Linked DNA regions of Sus scrofa. The protein of the gene in region 1 purifies or fractionates together with the protein of each later gene. This does not show direct contact. Links are inferred from orthologs where the notes say so. Each region holds a gene or a part of one and is shown on either strand. Other genes may lie near its edges. The genes, in order: WDR24, DEPDC5 and CASTOR1.

Region 1 (10,639 bases):
GCTTGCTGAAAGCAGAGTGGGGCAGCTCACCTTTCTGGTAGGAGTAGGTGTTGGCAGTGCTCAACCGGACCATGCTGTCCGCAAACGAGGCCAGCAGCCTTTCACGGGAGCACAGGGCCCGGAACTTCTGATTGGGATGGGGAGAGGACTTAGGGGCCAGGCCCGGGGTAGGGGCCAGAGGTGGCCAGGACGGGCGTGAGCACTTACCGCGTTGTCAGTGAGCCCCTGCAGAATGACAGGTCTGGAGAAGGCGTAGCTAGAAGGAAGGGTAGGTTACGGCCAGGTCCGATGGGCGCCCGCCGCCGCCGCCGCCGCTGCCGCCGCCCTGGCCCTCCCGAGCCCAAGGGGAGCTTCGAGAGGACAGGCCGGCAGACCAGCTTCTCGGCTCAGTGGTGCAGGGGGAGCCCTAGTGACGGGTGTTGGAGCGTGGGGAGTGTGGCTACCGGGGAGGGTGCACGTACTGCTGCACGAACTCGGCGTAGCTGAGGTCCGCCCGGCGCTCCACCGTGCAGCGCTCCTCCTCCACCACGACGGCCGGCGCCGCCGGCTCGCGCCGCCGCCTGCGGACGCAGCCGCTCATCAGTGCCCCGTGCCGCCCCACCGCCCGCCCCGCCCGCCCGCCCGTCATCGCTCACCACCCTCCGTCGCCCTCTTCCCCGGGACTCCTGGCTGGACGCGCCAGCGCCCAGAGCGCGAGCAGCAGGAATGGCCGCGCCCCCGTCGCCATGAGCCCGCCGCCGCTGCCGCGAGGCACCCCGAGAGCCCCGCTGTCAGGGCGACGGCCCGGCTGCCGGAAGCAGCTTTCTGGGCCCGCCCCGGAAGGAGAGGGCACGTCCGAAAAGGCGGGGCCAGGGCCGCACCTAGAGCTGCTATTGGCTACTGCCCGCGGCTGAGGACACGCTGTCACACACGTACCGGAGTCGCCCAACCGGGGACTCGGGCCGTGAGCGACGCACCCAAGTAACAAGCAGCTTAGACCGCGCGGTTCCCACTTTCTTTATTTGGTTCAAAAGCCCACCCCTCCCCTCCCGGTCCCGCAGGGGGGTCAGGAGTACTCGCACAGGTGGCCGCAGCCGGCGGGACAGTGGGAGCTGCCCTCCAGCCATTTCATGATGTGCTGCAGGTGGCCGCCGTGACTGCACCCCTGGCACCACACGAACAGACCCTTGACCACGTGGTGGCAGACGGCGCACATGCTGGCGCAGCGGTGGCACCTGTCACAGACCCAGCCCCGGCTGCTCATGGGCCGTTTGCAGTGGCTGCAGTTGACATGCAGGGTGGTAGAGGCCTGGTTGAGGCAGCTGATGGCGCGGCTGGTGCTGAGCTTGACCACCTGGTTGGACACGTTCCACAGGCAGAAGCGCTGCAGCAGGTCGATGTAGGATGTGTACCAGTGCTCCTGGTGGTGCAGGGAAAGGAGGAGGGAGGTAGGAGGCCAGGTTGGCGGGCACATTGAGGGATTTCACCCAAGTGTGCTGGGCACAGACAGGGGTGTGGGTGTAGGCGGAGTGGGGGGGGGTCATGGGGGTGGCAGCTGCTCCAAGGAGACACCCACCCACCTGGGTCTGCTCGTCGATGTCCTTGCGCACGCGCTCCCCCAGCACAACGAGCACCGACACGGCCATCTGCACGTCCCCCTGCTCAGCGTAGAAGTGGAGCATGTCACACACCAGAGCGCTGAAGAACGCAGGCGGCAGGCGGCTGTCATACAGCGCGTGCGAGACCGAGATGAGGGAGAAGGAAGAGTCCATGGGCACCAGGGAGGCCACGTCTGCCTCACTGCCGCTCACGTGGGGCGAGTCGGCCTTGTCCTGCAGGTGCTCGGGCCCGGGGGGAGTGTCCACGATCTCGTGGCGCAGCGGAAAGGCCTCCTGGGGCAGCACGTACTCGGGCTCCTCGGCTGCAATGCAGGGGTGGGGGGCAGCCGGGTCTGAGCCCCTGACCCCACCTGCCGCCCCCCTCCCCAAGCTCTCACTTACAGTGCGTGTGTTCAGGGTCCAGCAGGTACAGCTCATCGTCCTCACCCTCCACATCACACAAGAGGTAATCGGCAGGCACGTCGCTGCCCTCCGTCTCCTCGTTATCTGCAGGAGGGAGGGCGGCTCACTCTGGGATGCCCTTGCCCCGCTCCCGTGAACACCCTGTCCCTGCCCCCAGCCTACCTTCATTAGTGATGAGCGTGGCCGAGGAGTCCAGCAGCACTGTGTCACTCCGCGTGTCACCCTTGCTGCGGTCCAACCGCGTCTCGCTGCCCAGACCTGGGGCCATATCCTTGAGGTTGAAACTGAGAGCAGGAAAGGCCAGTGGGTGGGTAGGCTCCAACAATGCCACCTTCTGGGAAGAGCCTCCCCCAGGCATCTACCTGTTCATGAGTGGCAGGCCGCAGGAGCTGCCCTTGCCCACGCTGTGGTTGAGGTTGGTGCCTGGCACCAGGCCAGGGCTACAGTAGATGATCCGTAGCATGGTCCACGTCTGCGCCACCTATGGGGGGAGCCCTGATCATTCATGGGGGTTCTGGGGCCCTGGATGGAACCACAAACCCTTCAGCTTTCAGCTGCCCCAGGGACCCATGTCCTGGCCTGCCCCAGCTGGGAAACTGAGGACCACGAGAAGGAAAAAGCCTCGCTTCGACCTTGCAGGGGCCCAGAAGAAAGGAGGGAGGGAGCCTGGGGTCCCAGGGAAGTGATGAGAGAGGCAGTATGCACACCTTCTCTGCAGGGCCAACACCCTGGGAAGTCTAAAAGCCAGAGTAAGCTGCCAGATAGGGCTCCAGCCACAGCACCTCAGACCTGCATCCCAAAACGGCGCTGGCGCATCTGGCCCAGTCTTGGGGTTCTCGATACCCTCAGTTACCTGGGCAAGAGCTCCGTTGGCGCTCTGAACTCGGAGCAGGGTCTGGGCGCAGCAGTCAGAGGAGTGCCTGCGTGAGGTCACGGCCCTCAGCCCGTGCCCCCCCCCCGACCCCCCCCTGTACCTGGTTGCGGCCGAGCTCCCGAGCCACTTTCGCGTTGTGCTCACAGAGCTCAGCCAGCGGCCGGCCAGCCAGGGCGTAGCGCTCGGCCGTGTCCACAAACCAGCTCATGCTACCGCTGCCGGGCTCCATCTCGAAGACGCTGAGGGCGCTGGAGGCGAGGCCCGCGAAGGGCGCAGCAGGGTCCACCTTCTTCTTGAAGAAGATGGGGTGGCGCCGATCCCCAGTGTAGGGCTTGCGCCCCGACTCCACAGCCACTAGGCTCTCCTTGGCCGCAAAGGCCAGGTCCCCAAAGAGGCCGTAGCAGAGGCCCTCAGGATTGGCGCGCTCAACAGGCTGGCTGGCATCGCGGAACAGGTGCTGGCACAGGGTGCTGTCCTTGGAGCCCGAGAGCAGGAAGGAAGGGTCGTGCGGGTGGCGCCAGGCGATGCCTGTCGTGACGTCACGGTGCTCCTCAAACATAGCGGCGGGCACGAAGGGCCGGCGCACGTCCCACACGTAGATGTTGTGATCCACCATCATGGAACACGTGGCCAGGTGGTGGCGGCACTCGGGCCGCCACTTGACTCTGGCCACGGAGGCGATGGTCTGCACGCAGTGCACCTCCTTGGCGCGGTGGGTGGTCATGTCCCAGACCTTCACCATCTTGTCGCGCCCACCCGTGGCCAGCCAGCCCCTGCAGAAGGCGCGGGAAGCCCTCAGGGTCCTCTTGCGGGGGGAGGGCTCCCCGATCGCTGCCTCGAAGGGCTTGAGGCGGGGAGAGCCCTTCCACAGGCCCCGCCCGCCCTGCCCCGCGGCCCCAGCGCCCCCCACCTGTCCTCGGGGTGCCAGTCGCAGCAGAAGACAGGCCCGTTGTGCGCTGTGAACATCCTCTCGCAGCGGTCGGGCCGCCGGATGTCCCAGAGCTGCACGTTGCCGTTCTCGAACGTGGAGGCGAAGGTGAAGTAGTCCCGGATGCTGAACTGGACGTCGCGCACACTCTCGGACTGGCCTGCGGGCAGGACGTCGGTGGGGGTGCAGGTCAGTGGGGGGCCCTCGCAGTGGATGGGGATGCCGTCGCCCAGGCCAGGAGGCCTCATGGAGCAGACATGAGGCCTGCGCCAGCAAGAGGAACACCAGGTGTCGGGTGGCTTTCGGCCCTGGCTCTGGGGCCTCGATTTCCCCTGGATTCTGTGTCTGACATCAGTCCTCGTGCAAAGCTGTGCCCAGCTTCAGGACTGGATACCAGAGCACTGTGGGAACAGGAGCCTCTTTGGACCATCTGTCCACTCTCCTCTGGGGGCCTTGGGCCCAAGGAGGCATGGATGGGGCAGCCGGGATTCTGCCCAGTCCCTTCCCCTGTAGTTGGAGCTGCCGGGTCAGCCCCTGCGGACCAGAGCCCTCGAGGGTCCACGTCTACCCCCATGGGCCACCACACCAAGAGCCTTCAAGGGCAGTGTCCAGCTCTTCCCAGCACAGCCAACTCAAGGTCTGGCCTGAGTGCCCCCCATTCCCAGAGGGCTCTGCCCCGTGCTTCACTTGATCTCCTGGAGGTGGAAAAGGGGGAGCCGGCTCGAGGTGGGTCATCAGGGAGCTGGGCCAACAGGGAAAAGACCTCTGGAGGGACGAGGCAGTGTGTACACACACACACCACGGTGCTGCTGCTGCTTCCCTGGGCTGAGGACCCTGGAGGCAGACTTTGTGCAAATGAGGTGGTCTGGAGCTTTGAGGCAAGACAAGGCAGAGAAACAGACTGCTCAGCTGCCCAGGGTGGCTGTGGATCTGCTCTGGCTCTGCCCTCTCCCCGATCCCACGCTCAGCCTCAGCTCCGGCTGGCCCCACAAGTGCATCAGAGCTGTGAGCACACTCCAGATGCGCCTCGCACTTCCACCAGGCCTCCCCCGCCCCCCTCCGCTGACCTCCACCCACTCTTCCAGCGCCAGCTCGGCCTGCCCCTTCTCCAGGAAGCCCTCTGGAAGCACAGCTGAGGGCCTGTGATGCACACGGCACTTCCCAACCTGCCTAGACAGGCCAGGCGCCTGCAGAGATGCACACCGGCCCGACTCGCCTCCAAGGGCCTCACCCGAGAAGGTGCTGACAGAGTCCTTTCTGCGAAGGTCGAAACACTTCATGAAGCCATCCTGGGAGCCACTGAGCAGCACATGGGCCTCAGTGGGGTGGAAGCAGACTTTGTTTACCGTGCGCTTGTGCTCCGTAAACAGCTGGTCCTGCTTGTTGCGGGACGGCCGGCCCAGGTTCCAGGTGACCACCACACCGTTGGTGGCCGCCGTAGCCAGCAGGTTCTCATCCATCTGGTGCCAGACGACATCTGCGCAACTCAGGTTGAGCGAGGGCTTGCGGCCCACACGCAGATTCAGCTTCTCCACAAACTGCTCCTCCTCGATGGCGTAGATCTTGAAGATGCTGCGGCCAGCCACGACCACCTGGGCCGCGTCACGGCACACACTGATGGCGTTGGCTGGCGCGTCCAGGTGGCAGTGCATGGTGCGACCTGTCAGTGCACTGCCACTCAGGGCTGTGGTCACCCGGGACATCTTCTCCATAGCTGCACGCGTAGTGGTGGGGAAAGGTCAGTGAGGTGGGCAGGCCTGATGGGGGCGGGGGCGGGAGAGGGGGGATTGGCTAGTGCCTGTCAGCTGGGTAGTTCCTTCAAAACGGCTTAGGCCTCGGTTGGTCAGTCTCGGGAGCCGGTCCAGGGCAGTCTACGGTTAATCAGTGTGATAGGAAAGTTCCATCCCCCTAGCTGGGCAGTCAGAAGGCGCCATGGCTGCCTCGAGGCCAGTCAGTCCCATGTCTCACTTCTGAAGAAGATCGTACCTGCCAGGCCACCTCTCCAAACCCCCAACTGCCAGATCAGGACCGTCACTGGGCCTTCGGTCGGTCTGTCTCGCCCGGGGAGCCGCCCTCAGGGGAGGGGGCAGAAGGACTAGAGGGGCCCGGAGAACACAGGCTATAGAGGCACAGGGGACACGGGGGGACTTCAAGGATCGAGCTGCTTAAGGAGCCCCGGGGCGCGGAGGGGGGTCTGGCGGGACCGGAAGCAGAAGAGGCCGGCGGCACAGAGGCGGCGAGGGAGCGGGGGCAGCCGGCACCGAGACAGAGCCAGACGAACTGAGAAGTCGTTCCTTCGGAGAGAAACCGAACCCCTCGCTAACACTGCCGGGCCGGGCCGGAACCGCCGCACCGGAAGCACTCCTTCTCTTTCACGCCCCTCACCGGATGTGGTCCTTTTCTTGCCAGTCTCTCACCGGAAGCGGGTCCCACACCACAAAAGTTCCGGGTCGAGGAGCCCCGCTGCTGGAGGCGGAGGGGTGGACCGGGACGAGGGTAGAGGGGTTCCCTCGGTTCCGCCTCGGCTGGTGGCCTTTTTATTACAGTATGTTAACACCAGTGCTCATCTCTCCGCGAAGGTACGTCAGCAAGTCCGGGCAACCCTAAACGAGTCCCGAGTCCCGAGTCCCTCCGTCGTCTCCGCCCCCTCCCTCTCCCTCCCACCCGATCCCGGGCGCAGCCCCGTAACCGCTCTCCTTGCGTCCCTCGTTCCCCCTGATCCGAACGCGCACAGCGTACAGGTACTACTCGTCGGCCTAAGATTCTCCTTAAGTCCCCAATGCTCTGTGAAGAAATCCCAAACTCCTGGCCTCTTCCTCTCCCCGAGCACCTCCAGCCATGGCGGCTTCCAGCCGGCCGTGCTCTCTCCTGCTTCGCGGCCGTCGCACGGGCTCGCTCGCCCTCCGCTGCATCTCCTCATCTAGCAGGGTTCAGCTGAGTGGCTGGTTAAGGGGCCTTTCTGGGCCACCGCATCTAACTTGGCCCATACAGTCAACTGTTACCGTCACAGCACTTGTCACGACCCTTCCCTTTGTATGCTAGTTACCTTCTGTTGCAAATGAGTGTGAACCCTACCAGGCAGGGAGCATGTCTCTTTCTGCCCACAAGAGCTCCTGTGCCGGACCCCCACCTGTTCCACACAACTGGCTACATCAGTGATCCTCCCAGAGCCTCCTTTTCTCTCCTGGGTATGAGTCCCCATCTCTCCTAGCTGCACTGTGAGTTTTTAAGACATCCTTGACCCCTTTTTGGTTTGTTTTAAGGCCGCACCTGGGACATGTGAAAGTTCCTGGGTTAGGAGTGGAATCGGAGCTACAGCTGCAGGCCTAAGCCAAATCCTTAACCCCCTGAGCAGGGCCAAGGTTTGAACCTGCATCTTCATGGACACCGTGTTAGGTTCTTAACCCGCTGGGGCACAACAGGAACTCCCCGACCCTTCCTGCGAATCTTTTGTTTTGTTTTGTTTTGTTTTGCTTAGGACCACACCTGGGGCATATGGAGGTTCCCAGGCTAGGGGTTGAATTGGTGCTGTAGCTGCCAGCCTACACCACAGCCACAGCAATGCGGGATGGGAGCAGTGTTTGCAATCTACACCGCAGCTTACAGCAACACCAGATCCTTAACCTGCTGAGCGAGGCCAGGGATTGAACACACGTCCTCACGAATACCAGTCAGATTCGATTCCGCTGTGCCACAACGGGAACTCCCCTCTGACCTTTCTTAACCTTCGTGACCCTCTGCATGAAACAGGGCATGTGAAAGTTCCCAGGCCAGGGATCAAACCCACCTGACAGCAGCAACTAAAGCTGCTGCAGCAACAAACTCTGTATCCTTGACCTGCTGTGCCACAAAGGAACTCCCAAACAGGGCTCATTTTTGCCCTTCTGGAAGGATGGGCAGGATCCTAAATATTTTGGGCGAATACGATGTGTAATGATTTTAGCGATTTAAGCAATGAGAGGTCAGGGACCTTCTGTGCTGGTCCCAGCTGGGTTTCCTGCCTGGCACAGTGTGACCAGCCTCTGCCTCTTTGTTGAAAGAACCAGTAATGGATGCACTGAGAGCTGCACACATACTCAGACTCGGGTCACACAGGAGAGGTACACCTTCCCCCAGCATGATCTGATGACCTCCAAACAAGTCAGACGTGTTTTTACAACTTTTTTTAATATATATTTTTATAAACAGGTCACGTGATAAAATAGCACAAGAAACACTTACCAAATATAAGGTTATATCTTCCGCATATACAGGAGAATGAGGTCGTTATGTACAATAAGAAAATGGTTTTAGGGGTTGGTTTTGTTTTCCTCTCTCCCCCTAATTTTTCCTCCTACAATCGTTGGAAATATCACAGCTTCAGTTGCATTAATACTTTGGACAAATGGACAGCTGCCCCTCCCCACTAGGGAGCTGTGGGGAGGAGGGGCTGCAGAAACTGGCTCCTGACCACCGCAGCCCTGGAGCCTCTGACCAGCACTCCAAGGGCAGGGAAATCTTTGGGCTGTTGAACTGTTTCTTTTCAACAGCAGCTCTCGCTCGCTCTTTCTCTCTCTCTTTCTCTCTCTCTCTCTGTCTGGCTCTCTGGAAACTGCTTACTCTCTTCCAACCAGATGGGGGGGAGGGTGTGTCCCAAGATTGGCTATGGGTGCTGGATATCCTGGGGCTCAAGGTTGGGATGGAAAGGGGTCCCAGCCCCCTCCTCAGCAATTGCCAAGATGTGCCAGCACCCCCAGGACCTCCCAGTGTCTTGGGATTGGGCAGAACACGGTGAGCCCCTGTGGGCAGGTAGAGATTTGGGAAGCTGGGGAGGGGGGCGTGGCTGGAAAGGAGCCCTCCCTCCCCCTGGGTGGTGAGGGTGTGCTGGCCACTGGAAGATCAGAGTCGCTGGCTGGGGCCCCCTTTCCAGCTTCCACCTGACAGAGACCTGCCCGGGATGGAGGGTGGTGCTGAGGGGCCCGGGCCGGGCTGGCTACAGGGCTTGTGGGGCGGGGTCCACCCAAGAAGGCTCCCAAGGCCCGGAGGCCCTGAGGCTGACTACCCGCTTCAGGTCTCTCCCGGTAGCCGCACCACCCCTGGGTTGCGGCTAATGTCGATGATTGTGTTGTCAGCTGCCAGCCCCTCTCCTAGTCCAGTTCTGCCCTAGCCGAGCCAGGACCCAAGGGCCTGAGGCCTGGGGTGGGGGTGGGGCGAGCAGGGCTGGTCTCACATGGCGGCAAGTAAGAGGCGAGGTCGCTGGGATCAGGCTGGCATGAGGTGGGGGAAGGCTGGCTGGGACTTGGGCTCCTGGGCGGGCCATGGCTTTGGCGGCGGCCTGTTTCCCCTCGCACTCCTCCGAGGGCTCCAGGCGCGGTGCAGGGGGAGATGCGGGAAGCCCAGGGGGCTCTTCCGGGCCCCTGTGTCCTGGGGGACCCAGCTCCCCTCAACCCCCTTGGGCCCTGCCCGGGTGGGGGGGCGGCGGGGAGACAGAGCGGGGTGTGGCGGGGACGGCGATCACGGCGGCCGGCTGGCGAGCTCAAAGCGCCCCCAGGACCGAGCCCCAGCCCCCCGCCCCCAGGGGGCGGGCGAACGATGGAGGCGGCTGTCGCGTTGGCGGAGGGCGGGCGTGCAGTGCGGGCGCGAGGGGCATGCACAGAGTCCCCGAGCGTGCGTGCGTGCGTGCGCGGGGCTGGCCCGCCCGCCGCCCTCCCTGCTCGGGGCGGGGCCGGGAGGAGAGCGAGGGGCCGAGGGGCGGGGAGGCCCCGCGCTACTCGACGACGAGGCAGCGGGGCAGGTGCTGCGAGAAGTACTTGAAGAGCTCGGGCGTGGCCCCGGGGCAGTTGGTCAGCTCCAGCTCCTCCAGCTCCTGCAGCTGCACCAGGCCCGACAGCCCGGTGGCGGTCAACAGAGGGCAGCCTGCGGCGGGCGGGAGAGGCGGCGGCGGCTGAGTGGGCGCGGCCCGAGTGCTCCGAGGGCTCCGAGGGCGGGGCGCGGCAGGGCTACCGGTTGCCCGGCGTTTCCGCCCTCTGACTGGGACCCGGGACACGGCGAGTCAGCCCCAGGTACGGATTGGCACAGGGCACGCGGCGGGGCTGGCGCGGTCGGGCTAGGTGGGGGTGGGTGCTCACTATGCAGGGGGGCGGGCGGAGGGGGGTCTCACCTGCCAGAGACAGGAGACGCAAACTCCTCATGGCCAGGAGGTGCTTCAGCCCGAAGTCCTGCACCTGAGCGGGAGGGCGGAGCGCGTTAACTATTTCTGTTCGAGCCCTAAGGGACCCGCACGCCTGGGGCCAGTACACAGGGGGCGGGGGGTGGTGTCTCCGCTCGCCAATGAGTCAGCGGGGGCCCTGGGGACACCACGCGTTGCGCTTACGTCGGCCAGTGCGTGTGTGGAGGGGTCCCGGATTTCCTTACAGGATCTGAGTGGGCCGGGTGCGGGTCAGCGTCCTTTCCGCGTGGCGGCTTTCCCCGCTCCCCCCCACCTCCCCTGCCTACTCCCGGGTCTCCGGAGGCGCGGAGGCCTGGTACCTGGCAGCACCATCGCAGGTAGAGGCTGCGGAGGGACGACATGGTGGACAAATAGCTGAGGCCAGTGTCCGTGATGCGTACACACCTGCGGATGCAACAGAGCCGGGCTGCCCAACCTTCAAAACACTTCGCTCCGCCCCTCCGCTTCGGCCCCGCCCTTCCCGCAGCTCCGCCCCGGCCAGGCTCCACCCCTACCTGGCCCCTTCTGGGAGGACACAGCGCCGCCCCACTCCTGTTCCGGGCGCGCGAGGCCGCCCTGTTCCTGGGCCCCGGGCTCCCCCCGCCGCATCCCACGCCTGGTCACAGGCTCGTGCACTAGCCGAGGCTCTC
Region 2 (9,913 bases), on another chromosome or scaffold:
TTGGTCAGCATAGTGTTGTAGGCCCAGTTGTAGCCCACCCGCTCCTCACAGAACAGGCTCTGGCTGGTGGAGCTGGTGGAGTTGCGGCGCCGCCGTGGCTGCCCCGAGAACTTGCGCTTGGAGTAGGGCAGCTGCAGGAAAACCGTCCCTGCGGGGAGAGGGGGTTTGTAGTGTCCAAGGAGGGAGGGGGAAGGGAAGGCGCCCGCCTGCACACCTCTGGCCCTTGCTCACGCAGAGCATGGAGCAGAGCGCCTTACCTGTAACGTGGATGTACTGAGGTTTGTTCTCAGCAGGGAAGTTAAAAGCAGAGGCAGAATATTTATCTTGGACAAAACCAAACCTAAGGGAAGGACAGGGAGACACGCTGATTAGAGCCTCAGGGAAATTATGGCTGTCATGACACTGATGGCAGGGGAGAAGGGGCCAGCCTAGGGTGGTCTCCTTCCCATGGGCCCTTCAGGCTGCTCCTTCACAGCCTCACTGCTTCCCATCTGCCACCCCTCATTGGCTCACTCTCTCCCCTCTGCCTGGCCCCTTTCCCCCCTCACCCTCCCTGATCTCCCTCATCAGGGCTTCATCTCCACCCAACATCCCTTCCCAATGTATCAACTCCCCTGCACTGTGCCCACCCCTACACCAGAGACTGCCAGCCCCTCCAGGGATCTCGATTCTGCTGAGCCAGCCCTCTCCCCGCAGCCCCTCTGTTCTCCCACACTAGCTGCCCAGTAGGTTCTCAGGAAAGGAACTGTAATGAAGTATCTTCACTGAAACCCTTTCTTTAAGGTGAGGAACACTATCTGGGACTCTGCTTGGCTGTGTCCTAGAAATAGGCAGGAAGGGCCACTCTTCATCCACAGTGTGTCCTGTTTCTGGCTCTTCTATTTCTGCAATGTGTGTTCCCTTCAGCGCTACCTGCTAAGGGCTGTAAAAGACATGCTGACAGATGGGGCTCCTGCACTGAGTCTGAGGGGTTGATGTGATGAGGCAGGACTACAGCAGGTCAAATCCTGTCTCCTGCCCTGCACTGAGCTCTGGGCAGGCACTGTTCTGCATCCTCTATGGAAGCTGCTGCCTTTCCACTAGCACTTGATAATTATTTACTGAAGAACACATGAAGTAACACACAGAAAATTAAAGGGATCTGCTGATGTATACTGAAGCTTGTCACTGATGGCTGGTTCTCTGACAGCAGGAGTGGCTCAAGAGTTTGTCTTTCTTCCTCTCTACTCTCCAATCAAGGCTATTTATTTGTTTGGCATGGCTGGGCCTGACCCCTAATAGGCTCATGAGCTGGCTGGGGTTTTCCTAGTGATAACTGCCGTCTCCTGAGGGCTTATTAAGGCCAGGACATCAGGGGACCCTCTCAAGAGCCCTGTGAGGGGTGAGAACTCACAGGAAAAGCAGTGCCAGGACTTGCCCATGGTGCCTCAACCAGATGCCAGTGGAGGAGGCAGAGGTGAACCAGGCCTGTCTGCTCCCCACATCAAAGCCCTCAGCCACCAACGTCTGCATGCTACTGTCCCAAATCGTACCCCCTCCTCCTGAAGGGAGAAAGTCAGATGCCCTGGCATTCATTTCACAGCCTTTACTAAGTATCGAAGAAGAGAACAGAGAAGAAAAGGGCAGAGTAATGTCTAAAGTGAGCCTGGGCCCACTTGGGTTGGGGAGGCTGAAGAGCCTGGACTTCTTACTGTGGTTGTGGTAGTGTGTGTACAGCGAAGCCTGGAGAGGGGGTGGAACGTCTGAAGGCACCTGAACAATATGATAAGATACTGAACCTGGAACAGAGGCTTTGTTTTTGCCATAATTAACATGAAGCAGCAACTGGACACTGAGTTAGCAATGTTCTAACTCGATGCTCTGGAGGATAGACAGCTAAGCCTAGGAAAGTCTTTCTCTGCTACACATATTAGACATCAATAAATATCTACCAAACTTGGAGTTCCTGGCATGGTGCAGCAGAAACGAATCTAACTAGGAACCATGAGGTTTCGGGTTTGATCCCTGGCCTCGCTCAGTGGGTTAAGGATCCGGCATTGCCTTGAGCTGTGGTATAGGTCACAGACGCGGCTCGGATCCCGAGTTGCTGTGGCTGTGGTGTAGGCTGGCAGCAGTAGCTCCAATTCGATCCCTAGCCTGGGAACCTCCATATGCCATGGGTTCGGCCCTAAAAAGCATATGTATATATATACCAAACTTATCTACTGCTTTTTAACCATTCATTATTTCTTTGACATGTGCCAAGGGGCTCTTAACAAATTTTACAGTTTTTCATCTCATGGCAGTCTTGGCTCAGGGTCTTGTTGGAGACTAAGGAGAGAGATCTCTGCATCCAACTAGAAGAATAGGGGCTGAAAAATTTCAGCTACAGGAACTGAAGAGGCAGTGCTCATCTTTGAAACCAAGGCAGAGGGGTCTGTCGGAGATAAGCAGCAAATCTCTTGGTGGTGGACTGGGTCCATCTCTCCAGAAAGCACATGGACTGGGTTTCGCTATGGTAACTACCACTTAAAACAAACACGGATGCCTCTCCATGCTTCCCTCTTGCTAAGGGACAAACCTGTGTGCAATGGCTTCCTGGAAAAGGTGCATTCGATCCCAGTATGTTTCTGGTTCAAAGTCTGAAAAGAAAAAAAGGAATAAATGCCGAGTTGTGATTCCAAGGTTAGTTCTCCCTGGGTATGGCCTTCAGTATCTTTCACTACAATTCTCTCCCCCTGAGCCTGAGCTTGGCTTTTCCATACCACCTGCTTTCAGAAGCACCAGCCTCTACTCCAAGGAGGGACATCCTAGAGAGAGTGACAGTCCCCAAGCTCCAGCAGGGTCTAGAAAAGGGAATATTATGGGCCCTCAGCCACCAGTATGAGCTACCAGTATTCAACATGAGACTTGTTCTAATAACCACCTATGCGAAAAGCAGAAAGGAGCAGGATGTTAACACGCAACCAAAGGATAAGCTGTAAATGCACACCATTCACTTCTAAGGGAAAAAAAATTAACAGTCTTTCATTTTAGAGGTTGGGGAAATGAAGAAAATAAACATAAAGATGAATTTTTGGATAAGTGATCAGCTGGGGAAGGGTGGGGAGCAGGGCAGACAAGTGCCCGCCTCCACCACCAGCTTACTGCTCCAGCCTGGCTCCTGCAGGCTGGTGTGAAGACAGGAGCAGAGCAAGGAGGTGGTGGTATGGGGCAGTTGTCACACAGCAGAGACAATGGGCAAGGGCTGCTCTGGGGATTGAGGTGCTGAGGGTTGGAGCAGCAACCACACAAGACCTTGTCCCAGGGACCAGGGGTGCCTGCAGGGGCTTTACTGCTTTCTGTATTTGGAATTTTATATATAGGATTGATTTGAAGGCTCTGGGTAACCAAAGAGCACAAAAGCAAAAAAAAAAAAGACTTTGGCTTTAATAAGAAAAAACAGACACAGCAAACTCTTGTCAGGTTTTTTGTTTTTGTTTTTTTTTTTGTCTTTCTGCCATTTCTTGGGCTGCCCCTGTGGCATATGGAGGTTCCCAGGCTAGGGGTCGAATCGGAGCTATAGCCACAGGCCTACACCACAGCTACAGCAACGAGGAATCTAAGCTGCCTCTGTAAACTACACCACAGCTCACAGCAATGCCGGATCCTTAACCCACTAAGCAAGGCCAGGGATCAAACCCTCAACCTCATGGTTCCTAGTCGGATTCATTAACCACTGAGCCACAACAGGAACTCCCTCTTGTCAGATCTTTAAGATTTTGCATTCCCTATTATCAGAAAGGGAGATAACAAGAAGAGAAGTGGCACAAAAGTAAGAAAATCGATTTTTAGATTCAGGTCCTTATTCCTTTAAATCAGGACTCCTTTCTCTCAGCTGTAACCATGGCAACCAACAGAGGATGCTGGTCTTGAAGAGTGGGTTATAACTGGCAGGGAAAACCATCAGCTCACATGAAAATGTCCTCTAGTGTCAGCCCTGCAAGCACCCTGTGCAAAAGTGGAAAACCCCAGAAAAGGGTCTTTCTTTGGATGGTATCGGTTGTAGGGGGGAGACCTCTCCATCCCCTCAACATATTAGAAACAGCAATAAGAGGTGGTGCCTGTGAAGTTCCCAGTGTGGCTCAATGGTAACAAACCTGACTAGTATCATGAGGGTATGGCTTAAATCCCTGGCATCTCTCAGTGGGCTAAGGATCCAGTGTTGCAGTGAGCTGCAGTGTAGGTCGCAGACGTGGCTTGGATCTGGCATTGCTGTGGCTGTGGTGTAAGCTGGCAGCTGCAGTTCCAATGTGACCCCTAGCCTGGGAACCGCCATATGCTGCAGGTGCGGCCCTAAAAAGACACACACAAACACACACAAAGAGAGGCAGTGCCTGGCTTAAAGATGTGAGGTATGAACAAACGAAATCATCTGGCATTGCAGGACTGCAAAAAACGGTCCCCTCTTGGACACACCTCAAGAGGAAAGGAAAATATGTGTGAGTGTGGGGAGTGCTTTGTAAACCCTAAGGATCAGGGGATCTACAGCCTCCAGGGCTGTGAAGCTTACCTGGAACCCCCCCAACTATAACTTAAAGCCTTGTGTCTATACAAAGATGTTTTCCAAGATGTAAAAACATACACTTGGGCCTTTAAAACAAAAGCTGTTTGCACCTAGGGGGCCAGTTCTCTGTCACCAAGCACAGCAGACTCACAAGAACCTGGGAAGAGGGCCTCTCCTTTGCGTCAGTTTTTTCTTCCACATTGATCATTTCCATACCTGAAAAGCCAAAGTGCTCTGACACACCAGCAGCAACTCTAGGTTTTCGTTATAAAAGGATCATCTGTGAGCTCATGGGAAGCTTTGTAGGAACCAATTACATGCTCATTGCAATGAGCACTTGGAATGAGCTTGTGCTGTGTGATGGTGGCTTGTCCCCAGACCTGTCCCTCCACCTGCTCTTGGAGTCCAGTGGAAGATGGTTGGGGCAGGGGTGGTAGTGGGTGTCTGTGGGCTCCGTTCAAGGGTAGGGCTCTGAATGAGTCCTCCTACTCTGCCATCTTTGAGAGATGGGCCTCCTAGTGCTGACACCTGCACCCTGTCTCCTGTTTTGCTTTCAATGTCCCCATTTCAGCCTTTTTTCATGGAACAGCAGATCCAAGCCTCCTGTGAGGTTCAGATTCCCGCAGCCCCAACCAGTCAAGCTGGAGCAGAGAGAATTTTGGAAATTCTCCCCACTTGGGAGGGGTGGGGAGCAGGGCAGACGAGTGCCTGCCTCCACCACCAGCTTACTGCTCCAGCCTGGCTCCTGCAGGCTGGTGTGAAGACAGGAGCAGAGCAAGGAGGTGGTGGTATGAGGCAGTTGTCACACAGCAGAGGCAATGGGCAAGGGCTGCTCTGGGATAGAGGTGCTAAGGTCTGGAGAATCCCAGTCAGCTCCCCATTTACAGCACAGTGCCCCCTCCCGCCCACCACCCCTTCCAGGTCTCAGGAGGGTCTTCCTGAGCTGGAACGGCAGCTTTGGCCGCCCTCGTTTTAGGAATAAGGCATCTGAGGTTCAGAGACACCGAATGACTTGATCACGGTTGCCCAGCCACTAAGGGAAGAACCAGGATTAAAACTCCAGCCCCTCGTCCAAAGGTTCCACCTTTTCCTTAGCCTCCAGGCACTTAGAGGAGGCAACCTCGGGGGAGGGGTCTGCTTGCAGAGACAGGCCCTCTGGGGGGGGGGGAGTGGGGGCGTGTCTTACTGTCAAACAGGTGCTCACTGCCCTCCTTGAGCAGACAGCTGATGTTGAGCGGGATGAAGAGCTGGGCCCGGAGTGGGTCGCCATACAGATAACTGGGCAGTGCAAAGGGACCCTCCAGCACCGGCACCAACAGAAAGCCACAGGAGGTGGCCTTGCGGTGCCAACCTTGGACCTGGCGGAAAACACAGAGACACATAGTGTCACCTCCAAATTCCCTCTGACAAGAGAAAGTACTTTCAAGGAGGGTGCTGCCTGGGGGCAGCCTGCACATTGACTAACATGTTCACTTATCAATGTCCACTGGTTGCAGACCCGTCCCAGGAGGAAGAAGCACAGTATAACCTCCTGACAAATACCTGAAGGACCATGAGGTGAGCACACAGCTCCTCTTCAGGCCCAAGCTTCTGCAACCTTGGGGGTTCTTTTGGAGGAAAGACCAGGGAGAACTATTTTCTGCCTCTTCTTGGTCAATGGATGTTGGGGGAAGGTCCTGAGATATTGGTTAAGTCCTTCTAATTTTGTCCTTTATCAAAAATTTACTAAGTCCAAAATATCAAATAGGAAAACTGTCCACTCAGGCTGGCCAAGAGGGACATGACACAGGCAGCAAGACAACCATTGTAGACTCTGGCCAAAAGTGACAAGCGCTGACCTGGCAGAAGGAGAGCTGTTCTCTGCAAACTCCTAAATGCTGTCTGTCCAATGAACGACCAGGAACAAAAGTTACTGGGGCATCAAGACCAACCTCCCCAGCAGGCACTTTCTTGGGGAACAGTGGCAATTTTCTAAGTCTTAAGATACTTTTTTTTTTTTGGCTTTGCCCACAGCATGTGGAAGTTCCTGAGCCAGGGATCGAACCTATGCCACAGCAGCGACCCAAGCCACTGGAGTGACAATGCTGGATCCTTAACCCTCTGCTTCACAAGGGAACTCTGCTAACTGTAGGATCTTAATTACATAAAAATGGATCTTTAGTTGTGCAGATAGACAAATGGGAGCTGGAAGGACATGTCAAACTGTAAAATGCTTGTGATTATGGATGACTTCGATTTTTGCTTCTTGTGATTTTCATTTTCCTATGACTTATTTCCTATTAACTACATGTTAACTTTTAAGAAACAAATGTTATTTTAATAACCTGAAAAGATGACGCAAAACAAAAACAACAAGGCTTACTTATTTATACTGATACAGAAGATATGTAGGTAATACTAATACAACAAGAATAAATAGTATGTATTCTGAGCTACTATGTCTGTTTAAAAAAAAAAAAAAAATAGGACCTCTATACACCCAGACTCTCTGCAAGGACCAGCAAGGTGTCAGGGCAGCTGGAAGGTAAGAGGAGTCTGAATTAAAACAACTTTTAAAGTGACATAATTATGATTCTCTACCGAGCACCTGCTCGTCTGCCTTTCAGGTGAGCCAAGGCCCACCACATGCAAGGGGGTCTTACCATCTCAAAGAGCACTGCGGCAGTTACTGCCATCCAGTGTAGCTTGATCTCGAAGGCCGCATTCAGCGAGAAGTTACCGTGGTAATAACAGCTGCACCACTCCAGTCGGTCCGTGCGGTTGTTCACATCCACATCTAGGGTCACGGTCCTCTGCTCCGGGACAGTGGCAGCTATGTCAGCATGTGGGAGGGCCCCAAGAGATGGAAGGGAAGGAGCAGGATAAGGGGGAAAAGTAAACAATTGAGCATCTAGACATGAAACTGCTGGACCACCTAACAGAACATCAGACTTGAGAGGCTCCTTGAGGAACATGGACATTTCTGGGCCAGGGATTGAACCTGAGCCACAGCAGTGATGATGCCTCCTCCTTAACCCAGTGAGCCATCAGGGAACTCCAAGTATCAGGGTTTGGACCGAGTGCCCTACAGTCCCCAGAGCCTGAGGTCTGGTGGGCTGTCAAGAGAAGGCTGAGAAGCACAAGGCACGTGAGCTGCCCAAGGGACTCAGGGCTGCTTTTTCCAGGGTCTCGGATGCCCCTGAGCGCCAAGCTCAGTGACACCAGATGACAGGGGAGGGGAAGTGGGAGCTAGTAAGGGCCAAGCCAGACAGGACCAGGCATTTCAAAACACCTTTCTGCAGCTAACTTCCAACTGAGAACTAGAAATGTCTAAAAAGGAACACAACGAAATGAATGAACAAAAAAAAGGAGCAGGTCATAAAGGATACAAATCCCTTCTTCCCTATAAATCATATTCATTTTTTTCTGAGAAAAAGACTCAACACAACTGATCTTCCTCACATAAAAAAATGACACTGTTAAAGTCTATATTCTAACCAGAAAAAAAAAAAAAAAGTGCTGCGAAGAAGGATCGCGGATCATAACACAAAGGTGAGGAGATGTTACTGGAGAGAAGCAGCTGTGATCATGCCGTGTCGGGTATAAAAGGAACAAGAAACCCACTTCCCGTGGGAGGGCTGGTGAGAAAGGAAGCTGATGGAGTAAAACTCTACTATGACCATCATGGGAGCCTATGAAAAGTTAACATGAGGATGTTTTCCCAGCAAATACTCGCATATGAAAGATGCTGCCCAGCTACAGGATTACTGCCCCCCTGGTGCCCGCAGCCCCAGGTTATAAACTCCCTGCTGCAGACATCCATCTTCTCTTCATCCCACCCTTCTGATTTTTTGGACATGTTTTTCCATAGAGTGTTCCTTTTTAACCACAATTTTTTTTTTTTTTTTTTTTTTTTTTTTTTTTTTTTAAGGCCACACACAGCATATGGAAGTTCCCAGGGTAGGGGTCAATTTGGAGCTATAGCTGCTGGCCTACACCACAGCCACAGCAATTCGGGATCTGAGCCACATCTGTGACCTACACTACAGCTCAGACCAATGCCGGATCTTTAACCCACTGAGTGAGGCCAAGGATTGAACTTGCATCCTCATGGATACTAGTCAGATTCATTTCCACTGGGCCACAACAGGAACTCCTAACCACAATTTTTTGAAGAAACTAAGAACCAAAGCTAAACTGAATGACTGGAATCTCATCCTGAGCTTCAGACCATGTTTTAGAAAACTGTTTTGCCAAACAGATCTGTTAGATTTTGGCTTTTTTTTTTTTTTTTTTTTTTTTAAGGTAGGGAGGGTAATTATTAAGTTATTTAGAAAACTTCCTTTTCTTTGCTTTCTTTTTAGGGCTACACCTGGGGCATATGGAAGTTCCCAGGCTAGGGACAGAATCAGAGCTGTAGCCACCAGCCTACGCCATAGCCACAGCAACTAGGAATCTGAACCATATCTGTGACCCACATCCAGCTCATGGCAACGCCGGATCCTTAACCCACTGAGTGAAGTCAGGGATCAAATCTGCATCTCAGGAATACTAGTCAGGTTCTTAACCTGCTGAGCCACAATGGCAACTCCTGAAAAAACTTCCTTTTCTTGAAAGTGAAAGGGCTTATTCTGATGAAAGGGCTTATTCTGATATGGATCTTGCAGGGCCTGCAAAACCTCACAGCAGGGTTTCTTAGCCATGGCGCTATAAGTATTTTGGACCAGAACTTCTTTGCTGTGGGGGACTGACTGTCTTGTGTGCTGCAGCAAGCTCAGCACCAGCCCACACAGCCTCTCCCATCCACAGGTTTATTGTCCTGCCCTGATTCGAGAGAACCGTTGAGCCCTGTTTGTTGGTGGGACAATACTGAGCCAGGCCCACTGGGCCAATAGAAGCCAGCACAGGAGCCCACAGTACTGATAGCTGTGGTGGCTGTAACCCTGGCCCCTGAGGCATTGCTCCCCTGTCTGGCAGCCACTCAGCTTCAGCCACCTGCTAGCGCATCCCAGGCCCCATCTGCTCGGGCACCTACCTAAAAGTGCAGCTGCCTGGCTGCGCCCCCCAAAGCTGCGGCTGAAGGAGCTGTGTCTGCTAGCGTAGGAGGCCGGCCGGCTGGGCAGCCAGGGCAGCAGGAAGGCAGGGATCTCGGAGTGCAAGAGCTCCTCAGCCACAAAGGCCACCTCGAACCACTTGCGCTGGAAGCTGGCGAAGTCATCCATGGCTGTCGTGTGCCAGGTGGTAGGCTGCTGCATGGCCACTGGAAGGGCAGGGGGGGAAGGAGGAGCCCTCAGCATAAGCACTCATGTTCTCCCCAATTTGTGCACAACAGCGATGACTCTGAAAACATGGTGCTGAGAAGCTCGTCATGAAAGGCTGTGGGGTGCATGAGGTCACTGGGTGAAATGT
Region 3 (10,452 bases), on another chromosome or scaffold:
TGGCCCTGCCTCCTACTTTTTTTTTTTTTTTTGAGCCTCTGACCTCACCTGTCAAAAAGGGGAGGTGCGAGTTGATGTGTTACGTGGGAGACTGGCCCCTTGGTGACCACAGTCAGCTCCCATCCCCTCTCCAGGGAAGTGCAGCTTCTGAGACAGGTCTGGTAGGACAAATATGAAGGTAGCGGGTGGCAGAGTCACACCTGTCATCCCGTCCCTGACCTCTTCACAGCCAGCAGGACCTGTTCCGTGTGCTGAAGGCCTACACACTCTACCGGCCCGAGGAGGGCTACTGCCAGGCCCAGGCGCCCATTGCGGCTGTCCTGCTCATGCACATGCCTGCTGAGGTACCACCAGGCAGGGGGTGGGCAGGCGGGCAGGGAACACCCAGCAGCAAGGCCTCACATCTCTCTTGCTCCACAGCAAGCCTTCTGGTGCCTGGTGCAGATCTGTGAGAAGTACCTGCCTGGCTACTACAGTGAGAAACTGGTGAGTGCTTGCTGGGCCTGGGCGCTGGCCTGAGACCCGCCCCAGCCTGGATGCCCTTTGGGGCCTCTCTTGGCCTTACTCTCTAAGCCACTCCTGTCCCCACTTAAATCCTTCCTAGCCTTTTGTTGCTTTCAGGCTGAAGTCCCAAGGCCTGCCAGGGTCAGGACTCCTGGGCTACAACTTCTTGGTTCCACACTCCCTCCATCTCTACCTCCAGCCGTGTGGCGATTGAGCAGGATCGCGGCTCCTCCAGTGCATCAAGTTCCTCCCTGCTCAGCCTTGACATAGGCTTAAACCTTTCCCCCCTTCCTTCCCCTGGTACCTCTTCTTTTCCCTCCACTTTCAGCCCTCTGGAGCCTTCCTTGACCTTGACAGGTGGGACCTCTGGCACACGCTTACCCAGTGTTCCTGTTCCTGCCATGTTCTGGGCACTTAGGCCCCTCCCCTCGTCTCTTTGCTTCTGTGATTTCTGTCTCTCTGCCCCTTTGCTCTACATGCTCCATGAGGGGGACCAGCTGTGTCTGGATTGCTCACCTTTGTATCCCAGCACCCAGCATGAGGTTGGCACCCTATAGTGTTTGCTTCCTGAGGAAGGGATGAATGCCTGCCTGGAGTTGGGAGCTGGGACATCCTTCCCACCTTGGCTGCTGTGGTCCCACAGTCCGGTGGCTTCATGTCTCCCCAGGAGGCCATCCAGCTGGATGGGGAGATCCTCTTCTCGCTGCTCCAGAAGGTGTCTCCTGTGGCCCACAAGCACCTCAGCCAGCAGAAGATTGACCCCTTGCTCTACATGACAGAGTGGTTCATGTGTGCCTTCGCCCGCACCTTACCCTGGAGCTCCGTGCTGCGTGTCTGGGACATGTTCTTCTGCGAAGGTACCTCTGTCCCTAGTCCAGCCCATGAGGGCCTCTATTTCTAGAGAAACTCCCTAAAGGGCCCCTCGCACTCACTGCTGGCTCTCCATGCAGGAGTCAAGATCATCTTCCGGGTGGGGTTGGTGCTGCTGAAGCATGCGCTGGGCTCCCCCGAGAAGCTCAAAGCCTGCCAGGGCCAGTACGAGACCATTGAGCGGCTGAGGAGCCTCAGCCCCAAGATCATGGAGGAGGCCTTCCTGGTCCAGGAGGTACAGTCCACATCTTCCCCCCACCACTGGGAGGGAGGGGAAGACATGAGGGTCTTTTGAGGGCCTGGTAGCCCTCTGCCCCCAAGGCCTGGTGCTCAGCAGCCCAGGATTGTGCACAGATCTCATCCTTCTGTCTGCATGAGAAGAACAGGCACAGAGAGGCCTAGGTCTTCAGGAATATGAGTAGATGCAGCTCATCACCCCCCTTCCTCCCTGGCTCCATAACCATGGTTTTGCTTTATTTTCCCTTTTTTTTCTTTCCATTGTGGATTTGTATCTGGGGCTGAAATGGGGTGACACATAGTTAGGCAAGTAGACTCAAGAGTTGTGGGGAGTTTTCTCCTCTGAGGCAGTGAGTATAAAACTCCTGGCTCACCTGGCACTCAGGGACTTTTGACCACCACTACTTTAGTGACCAGGGCTGGGACAGCTGAGGGAGAGCAGGGGCCCAGGCTGGGGGGCAGAAGGGGAAGGTTCTTCTTCCTGGTGCCCACCTGCCTGTCACCACCCCTACAGGTGGTAGAGTTGTCAGTGACAGAGCGCCAGATTGAGCGCGAGCACCTCATCCAGCTGCGGCGCTGGCAGGAGACCCGGGGTGAACTGCAGTGCCACTCGTCGCCCAGGCTGCACGGCGCCAAGGCCATCCTGGAGGCAGAGCCTGGCCCATGGCCCACCTTGCAGCCTTCACCATCCATCCGCCTGCCTCCGGACGCCCCCCTCCCTGGCTCCAAAGGCAAGTCCAAGCCATCCAAGCAGGTCCAGAAGGAGCAGAAGGAACAGCGGAAGCAGGCGAAGGCGAGTGGGCAGCCAGACAAGCCCACAACCACAAGTCAAGCCAAAGTGGTGGCCGCTGCTGGAGATGCATGTCCCCCACAGGATGTGCCCTCGAAGGACCCAGGCCACCAGGACCCAGCCCCTCAAGACTCAGCTCCCCAGGACACAGCCCACCACCGCTCCCAGGAGAGCCTGACATCCCAGGAGAGTGAGGACACCTACTTGTAACCATGGCAGCTCAGGCCCCGGGGCTGGGGTCTCCACACACCTATACAGTACATGGACTGACTTCAGGGCCTGCCCACCCTCTGAGGGCCCGGTCGCCTGGTCGGCAGGGAGTCTGGCTGGCCCAGCACAGATTCTGCCTGAGCCTCCTTATTTATTTTCTCCAGAGTGGAGCTTGGGCAGGCCCAGCTGGGGCAGGCAGAAGTGGGTGAGGCCTTGTTTGGCCCCCTCCTCCTGGAGGCATGTTCTCCGGGACCAGGGCACTGATGTGAGGGGAGAGGGAGGGATAAAGGGTGGGGTGCTCTTTGTGTAAAATAGAAACATGGTTTTGTACAGAAATAAACAGGCTTGTGTAGAGAGCTGGTGTGCAGCTAGGGACTGGAGAGGGGGGTCTGTTCCCCGACCCCCGCTGTGCTCAGCATTCTTCTCCATACCCTGCAGAGGCCCCATCCTGGTCCTAGTGCAGCACTAGAGCCTTTCTGGGAAGTACCTTTGCCAGAGGGGAGGCCAAATCTAGGGCCCGCTCCTATTCCTGGCCCCTGTATCCTCTTATCCTGTCCCCTCTGACCCATGTTCACCATCTGCCATGGATGAGGGTCACTAGTGCTGGGGCAGAGCAGAGCCTGCTCCCCAGGCCTTGATCCCTGCCCATCACCGAAGGGGAGGGGTTCCTTAGGGAGGTCCTTTTAAGGGTCTTCCTCTTCTAAGGTCTAGCCTGGATGCTATTTTGGACCCCAATAAGGTAATGAGTATTCATTCTGGGTTGGGTGCTGGTGCCAAGAGTGAGGGATCATGAATGCCCTCACATGCTCATCCCAGGCCTCCATCAAAAGCAAAGGGGTGTGGGGCCAAATCTGTATCTTTGATGAAAGGCTACCTGCCATGTAGCATATGCCAGGCTGGGCTGGTTGTGTCACATGCCTGATCAGGTAGGTTTTATTATTGTCCCCCTTTTATGGATAAGGAAACAGGAGCTAAGTGGGAAAAATGAAGCTGATCCAGATTTGTACCCAGAGCCCCCAACTACCTCTCCTGACTTTGCCATTGAAGGCCCAAGTTGGCAGTAGTGTCATAGCTGATGACTGGCAAGGGTGAGGACAGGGTGTCCCTGGGAGAGGCCCCCCTTCTGCTGAGGAAGCAGCTTTTCCAGTCAAACAATAGTGACTGTTCTTGGCTGGCCACCAAGCTGGGCTGGGCAATGGGGGAGCAGGGAGGCAGGACTAGAGCCTCCCTGGGAGCTTTTAAGCATCTCAGGGCCTCAGCCTGGAACATCTTGTCCTGGTACAGCTGGGGATACTGAGGCCTGAGGAGGTCAAGGGTCACATGAATCTGTCAGGGCAAACCACACCCTTCCTACCTCCTGCCCCTTACCCCTGTGGCTTCCTACCCCATGTACACCTGCCGTCAACCAGATGAGGGGCTCAGCCTCCTGAGGACACCTCCCACCCCCTGGCCCTCTAGGGGTCTGGCCAGGATGTGGTGGCTGCAGTGTTCCAGCAGAACCCACCAAACTGGTGAGTCCAGGGAGGGAAGGTGCTGCCCCACTACTAGCTGCGTGCAATTGCCGCCACCCCCCACCCCACGCCCGCCCGCCCCAGCAGGTAGGAGGCCTGCTCAGGCCTGCTGGGACCCAATCAGGCCTGAGGCCTGCTTTAACCTGCTTGGTTCAAAGCCTTGGATCTGAGGCCTGAGGATGTGCAGGCCAGGCAAGGGCCCCTGGAACATGTCCCATCCTGCTGGGAAACCAACCTAGGTGTGCTGATGTCTGCTCAGCACTGGGGTCTTTGCAAACCTGAGAGGCCTGAGCAGACCCCAGCCCTAATGTTGAAATGAACCCAAGGTGGCACTAACAAGCTTCAGATCTGGGGGCCTCCTTGGACATGAAACAAGCTTAAATGTGCTCAGGCCCAAGTTCTAATGACTGTAGGCTTTTAAGTCTGACTACACACTGGGCTCTGGATGCATGGCCCTGCCCCCCAAAGTTTGAGCTTTGGGCATTCCTGTCCCAAATACTTAAGTCTTAAGCCTCAAATGTTAGTCCAGACTACCTTCAGCTCCCTACCCTACAGTGTATTGCTCAGAGGTAGCTGGGGCCCTCCCCATCTTTGATTCTGGTGGGGAGCCTTCTACTCTGAAAGGTGGGTGAGAGGAACAGATGTGGGGACCACCAAGTTCAGGTTGGGTTTCATCTTGTTAGCCCACTCACAGGGCTCACAAAGCTTGGAGGGGTTTGTATCAGTGCTATCCTGGGCTGTGGAACTTTTTTCACTGCCACCCCAGCCAGTTCTGGTGGCCCTGCCTCATGCTAAGCCATCAGAGGAAGGAGAGGGAAAGGTGCCAGGACCCTTTATTGGGACAGAACAACAACGTCTCCTAGGTTGCACAGTGGACCCCTACCCACCCATGTTTCAAGGATTTGGGAGCAGTGTTCTGGTCACAGCCGAGCCCCGGTTCATCTTGTGGCCCTCCCAAGCCTTGGTGAACTTAATCAGAAGGCCCTTAGTGCAGAAAAGACCCCAAGCCTCCCCGGGCTCTCCGGAGCAGCTGCGGGAGTCCTGCGGAAAGGGCGGAGCCCGGAGTGGGGGAGAGGCATGGGCGGGGCCTGGAGGACGCGACGGGGGTGGGGTTAGGTGGTGATTCCGGAGCCAATGCCGAAGGGGCGGGGCCATAAGGGGCGGAGTGAGTCTCTAGCGTTACAAGGAGGCGTGGCCACCCTGGATTGGCCCCCAGTCCTGCGCGGCGTGGCCGTCAGGGAGCTGGCGTGGCTGGCGGCTAGGACTCTGCGGCGCAGCGGCTCCTTTAAGCACCTCCCGGCACCGCCCCCGCCGCCCCGCCCCCGGCACGGCCTGGGTCTGTTTGGCCGTGGGGTCGGGTCCGCGCGGACCGCGATGGAGCTGCACATCCTAGAGCACCGGGTGCGGGTGCTGAGCCTCGCCCGGCCCGGTCTCTGGCTCTACACTCACCCACTCATCAAGCTGCTCTTCCTGCCCCGCCGAAGCCGGTGCGCGTCCGGGTCCGGGCACAGAGGGGGGTGGGCTGCACTGTCACTCTGAGATGGGATCGGGAGATTAGGACCTCCGCGGGGCCAGCGGGAGCAGACAGGGAGAGCGCTCCCCGCCCCCCGCTCCCCACCGCCGCCATCCGGCCTGGGCCTACCCTCCCTGGGACCGCCGCCTATCCGGCTCGTGAGGCCCCCTCACAGAGCTTGTTAAGGCGCAGACAGCCTGGGATGGTCAGTGCTTAACTCCTAGTGGTTTCACATGGGGGCATTTCTTCCTGGCAACTTCGGAGAACTTTTTCCAGCTGCCTCTCATCGGGTCAGAGGGGCTGGTCTAAGGGGGCTCGGACGCCCGGGACTGCCGCCTTGGGTGAGCCTCTCCTTCCTCTTGGAATGCTGGGCAGGGGCTTCTGCAGAGATCTGGGCGGAGGAAAACGGTTCGCAATTCTGGAGATGGGGCCCACGCCCCACTGTTCTGGGGAGGAAATTGAGTCTGGAGGGGGCAGGGAGACGCCCAGCCGGGGTGGGGGGTGTCTGCCCGCCCCCTCCGCCCACCCAGGCTGAAGATGCTCCCTGCCCCCACCCAGGTGCAAATTCTTCAGCCTGACGGAGACCCCTGAGGATTACACGCTCATGGTGGACGAGGAGGGCTTCAAAGGTGGGGACTGGGCTGGGGAGGGTGAGTAGGGGAAGGAGGTTGTCCTCCCCTTTTTGCAGGATTCTAAGAGAATGCTAGGATCTAATGTACCAAGAGTTGGGGCCCTGAAGGCAGATGATCTGGGTTCCAGTCCATTTCCACTACTCACTGGCTGTGTGCCCTTGATCAAGTCACTTCCCCTCTCTGAGTTGTTTATTTCGTTTTATGTAAAATGGATATAGTTACGGTTCTGATCTATTTGGCCCCATGAGGGTTTTATAAATGGGGCAGTGTGTAAAGGGCATTTAGCAGCCACAGACCAGCAGCAGGGCCTCAGTTACAGCTCTGGGGCAAGAATCAGGCTTCTGTGGCTGTTCTTGCCCCCCACCCCATTATTTCCCCTTGGGCTTCACTCCCTGGTGTGGGTCACTCCCTCCCTGACTGGTCTGGGAACTCCGAGAGTCTGAGGGTTGGGGAAGGAATGCAGGAGCCGGCAGCCAGCCCAGGGCAGGATCCTACGGGGCCTCCTAGCTGTGTTTGGGCGATTAGCAGCCACCTTGGCTGTGGCCCATGTGCTGGACTGGACACCAGCCTGGTCCCTCCCTGATCCCTGGAGCTGATATCTGGCTTCTCTCCTGCCAGCTTGACCCATCCTTACAGGCCTGGAGTCTCTGGCCAGCCAGCTGGGGCTCCCTCCCTCCCCTACAGGGCTACTTAGTTTCCCTATTTATGCTGCGGAAAAGTCTGGGTCTGCTAACGAGGAAGGCATCTCCCAGCCAACTTGGACTGCTGGCTCCCCCTGGTGGTACCACATGGTGTAAGGCCTCTGATACTCAGTGCATACATACTCAGTTTCTGTAGGAGAAACAGGCTCTCAGAAGTTAAATCATTTGCCACAGGTCAACAGAAAGTAAATGATGAAGCTGGGATTAAAACCCAGGTCTGTCTGAATTTTGAGCTCCAATTTTATTTTATTATTTTATTTTTTACCTTTTCTAGGGCCACTCCCGCAGCATATGGAAGTTCCCAGGCTAGGGGTCTAATCAGAGCTGTAGCCACCAGCCTGCGCCAGAGCCACAGCAACTCAGGATCTGAGCCGCGTCTGCAAACTATGCCACAGCTCACAGCAACGCCAGATTCTTAACCCACAGAGCAAGGCCAGGAATCGAACCTGCAACCTCATGGTTCCTAATCAGATTCATTAACCACTGTGCCACGACGGGAACTCCAAGCTTCCATTTTAACTGGGAAGTTTCAATCCCTGACAGGCCAACACCCAAAGCACTTCTCAGTCTTTGCATATATGCAGGTCTCAGGAGCAGAACTTGGGGGAGGAGGACAGCTCTATTTTCCAGAGTGGACCTTACCTTGGTAGAGCCCTCCAAAGCGCAGACAGGGAAACTGAGGCCAGGGGCCAGCCCTACAGGCCCTGACTGGGTGTGTCCCCCTGCCCCACAGAGCTGCCCACGTCTGAGTTCCTACAAGTGGCCGAGGCCACGTGGCTAGTGCTGAATGTGTCATCCCACAGCGGCACAGCAGTGCAGGCTGCTGGGGTCACCAAGATTGCCCGCTCAGTAATTGCACCGCTGGCTGAGCACCACGTGTCCGTGCTGATGCTGTCCACCTACCAGACAGACTTCATCCTGGTGAGTTTCCTGCAGGTGCTGGGGCAAGGCAGGGTGGACACGGGTGCCTGGGGACCCGTGTATTGTGTCATCTTTGTGGCCCAGGTGCGGGAGCAGGACCTATCCGTGGTGATCCACACACTGGCCCAGGAATTTGATATCTACCGAGAGGTGGGCGGGGAGCCTGTTCCTGTTGCCAGGGATGATTCCAGCAACGGCTTTCCCCGTGCCCAGCATGGTGAGGGTCACCTCTGACACCCAGGCCTGGTGGGGGCTCCTCTTCCCACTGGGGCCCTTCCCTTTGTGGGTGGGTCTGTGGGCTTGGGGAGACCAGCTGACACTGACCCCCTCACAAGATAGGGAGACACGGCAGGGAAACTAAGGCAGATTCCGGTATGTAGCAAGTGACCCTACACCTAGCCCAGGCCCCCTTTCTGGCTGGCCACCAGGGGGCACTCCAGCCCACAGTCTCCCTTTCACCCACCACCACCTGCTCCCTGAGCAGGGCCCAGCCCCACAGTGCATCCCATCCAGAGCCCACAGAACCGCTTCTGTGTCCTCACGCTGGACCCTGAGACACTGCCAGCCATCGCCACCACCCTCATCGATGTCCTCTTCTACTCGCACAGGTGGGCCTTGTTTGTCTCTTTGATCTCACAGCTTGTTCCCTACGCTTTGTCCCACCACCTTCCACCAGTCCCTTGGCTCTGCAGTGCTGTACCCTGTTCCATGTCTGGGGTTCCTGGCAGCCTGCAGTGCCCACAGGCCCTTCACTGAGGTTCAGGCAAGGTCCTGGTGCTGCAGCTGGAGCCCTTCCCTTTGGGGTGGGCAGAGCTACTCCTGAAGTGTGCCCTGGTCAGGCCCTGTGGTCCTGGGATCCTGCATCTTTGGCACAAGTAGGTTCATCCTCCTCCCCCATCCCTACCCATGGCATGGGGAGGAAAGTGGCTCAGGGACATGAGCATCTTCCCAGGGCCACCTGTGCCAGCCCCTTCCCAGGGGTCTAGAGGCCCACTGGGCAGAGAGGGAGAGGGAAGAGTGCCTGAGCCTCCTATCCCTTCCCAGTGGCCCTAAGGAGGCAGCCTCTGGCAGTCCTGGATCCAGCTCCATCACCTTCTTTGCTTTCTCCCTCATCGAGGGCTACATCTCCATTGTCATGGATGCTGAGACACAGAAAAAGTACGTGACCCCTGACCCCAGGTGGGCCACAGACCCTAAGCCAGTCCCTAAGAGGAAGGAGGTGGAACATCAGACTCCAAGGTCATCAGGCTGATCTGCTCTGGGGGCTCACAGTGGGGCAAGGAAGAGACAGGGTACCCTGCCCACCACCCCTGCCTCCCCAGGTTCCCCAGTGACCTGCTGCTGACCAGCTCCTCGGGGGAGCTGTGGAGGATGGTGCGCATCGGCGGACAGCCCCTGGGCTTTGGTGAGGGCTGCACCTTGTGTGTCGGGGGCTTGGGAAGGGCCAGGAGGGGGGCATCAGGGTGATCCACATGGACCCCCTCCTCCACCCTCAGATGAGTGTGGGATCGTGGCCCAGATTGCAGGTCCCCTGGCTGCGGCTGACATCTCTGCCTACTACATCAGTACCTTCAACTTCGACCATGCCTTGGTGAGCACCACCGTCTGGGGCCAGGGCTCCTGCAGGGACACTGAGGCCCAGGAGGGGGCCCAGGAGGTGGTCCCAGTCAGGCCAGGAAGTTGAGCAGCCGTGACACCTTCCTCTGTCCACCTGCCCGCAGGTGCCCGAGGACGGCATCAGCAGTGCTATCGAGGTCCTCCAGCGCCGGCAGGAGGGCCTGGGCTCCTGAGCAGCAGCCTCCGGCCTCTCCCCTTGCCCTCAGGCTTCCAGAGATTTCTCGAATATTTCCTCAAGCTCTGGGACATTCCTGCTGGGGGATCCCTCCTTCTGCTCTGTGTATATAAGCTGTGGGCAGAGCACCGGCTCTCACGTGGACACACGTGTCTGCCCCCCACAGGGGAATACGGTGCTCAGGGCTTCCTCCAGGAAGCCCTCAACCCATCACTCCCTGCTGGGCCTCGGCGTTTGCACATTCCCTGCCTGAGGCCCAAGCCTTCCCCCTTTCGGTAGCCCCGTCTGGCTGGCTGCTCCTGGACAGGGCCCTGATCTCCGTTCTGCCTCGGGCTGGGGGTTGCCTTCCCTGGCCAGGTGAGTTCTGACAAGTGCCTCCCCTTCCTGGGACCACCAGAAGTATTTTTACATCTCTCTCTCTCTTCCTTTTTTTATCAACTTGTTAATAAAGAGCTTGTAGTGAGTGGGCTGGGCTGTGGTCTTTGGGGTTGTTCAAGCCTTGGCCACAGCTACTTTGCTGCCCCTGGGGGCCCCTCTGCCTGAGATCCTGGACTCTCCCTGTGCAGCTGGCTCAGGCCGGGATCGCCTCACCTCCCACCATTCTCACCTCCAGAGCGTAGGTGAACCATTGCCATTCTCCAGATGAAGGACCAGAGGTGGGAGGTGGAGTGACTTAGCCAGGGTCCTATGGTTCCTGTCAGGGCTGCCTGGCTCTGGGGTCCAGTCACTTTCTTCATTTCTTGCTGCTTTTGAATAGTCTACACGGTTCAG

What was found.
Region 2: the proteins of WDR24 (region 1) and DEPDC5 purify together in Homo sapiens (affinity purification with western blotting; 4 studies listed by BioGRID and IntAct, with this or other methods). This does not show direct contact. The link is inferred for Sus scrofa from reciprocal best matches to the Homo sapiens genes WDR24 and DEPDC5.
Region 3: the proteins of WDR24 (region 1) and CASTOR1 purify together in Homo sapiens (affinity purification with mass spectrometry; 3 studies listed by BioGRID and IntAct, counting the BioPlex papers as one, with this or other methods). This does not show direct contact. The link is inferred for Sus scrofa from reciprocal best matches to the Homo sapiens genes WDR24 and CASTOR1.

Annotation. Positions count from the first base shown.
Region 1 is NC_010445.4:41,080,965-41,091,603, reverse strand, and holds WDR24 (WD repeat-containing protein 24), read right to left. Parts: upstream 6,190-10,639; 5' UTR 5,515-6,189; coding exon 5,034-5,514; intron 3,963-5,033; coding exon 3,785-3,962; intron 3,648-3,784; coding exon 2,975-3,647; intron 2,482-2,974; coding exon 2,363-2,481; intron 2,285-2,362; coding exon 2,163-2,284; intron 2,085-2,162; coding exon 1,980-2,084; intron 1,901-1,979; coding exon 1,560-1,900; intron 1,400-1,559; coding exon 1,046-1,399; 3' UTR 976-1,045; downstream 1-975. Other genes in the region: JMJD8 (jmjC domain-containing protein 8), read right to left, coding at 31-127, 208-256, 444-560, 636-727; FBXL16 (F-box/LRR-repeat protein 16), read right to left, coding at 9,549-9,697, 9,942-10,005, 10,310-10,394. UniProt on the Homo sapiens protein: Catalytic component of the GATOR2 complex, a multiprotein complex that acts as an activator of the amino acid-sensing branch of the mTORC1 signaling pathway. The GATOR2 complex indirectly activates mTORC1 through the inhibition of the GATOR1 subcomplex.
Region 2 is NC_010456.5:48,513,011-48,522,923, reverse strand, and holds part of DEPDC5 (DEP domain-containing protein 5), read right to left. Parts: intron 9,765-9,913; coding exon 9,540-9,764; intron 7,338-9,539; coding exon 7,168-7,337; intron 5,884-7,167; coding exon 5,712-5,883; intron 2,622-5,711; coding exon 2,561-2,621; intron 341-2,560; coding exon 258-340; intron 149-257; coding exon 1-148. UniProt on the Homo sapiens protein: As a component of the GATOR1 complex functions as an inhibitor of the amino acid-sensing branch of the mTORC1 pathway.
Region 3 is NC_010456.5:47,261,602-47,272,053, reverse strand, and holds CASTOR1 (GATS-like protein 3), read left to right. Parts: upstream 1-5,324; 5' UTR 5,325-5,496; coding exon 5,497-5,609; intron 5,610-5,623; exon of another isoform or gene 5,624-5,976; intron 5,977-6,193; coding exon 6,194-6,264; intron 6,265-7,701; coding exon 7,702-8,106; intron 8,107-8,373; coding exon 8,374-8,497; exon of another isoform or gene 8,498-8,764; intron 8,765-8,933; coding exon 8,934-9,047; intron 9,048-9,211; coding exon 9,212-9,294; intron 9,295-9,385; coding exon 9,386-9,480; intron 9,481-9,610; coding exon 9,611-9,679; 3' UTR 9,680-10,149; downstream 10,150-10,452. Other genes in the region: TBC1D10A (TBC1 domain family member 10A), read left to right, coding at 230-344, 421-486, 1,172-1,361, 1,455-1,609, 2,126-2,611. UniProt on the Homo sapiens protein: Functions as an intracellular arginine sensor within the amino acid-sensing branch of the TORC1 signaling pathway. As a homodimer or a heterodimer with CASTOR2, binds and inhibits the GATOR subcomplex GATOR2 and thereby mTORC1.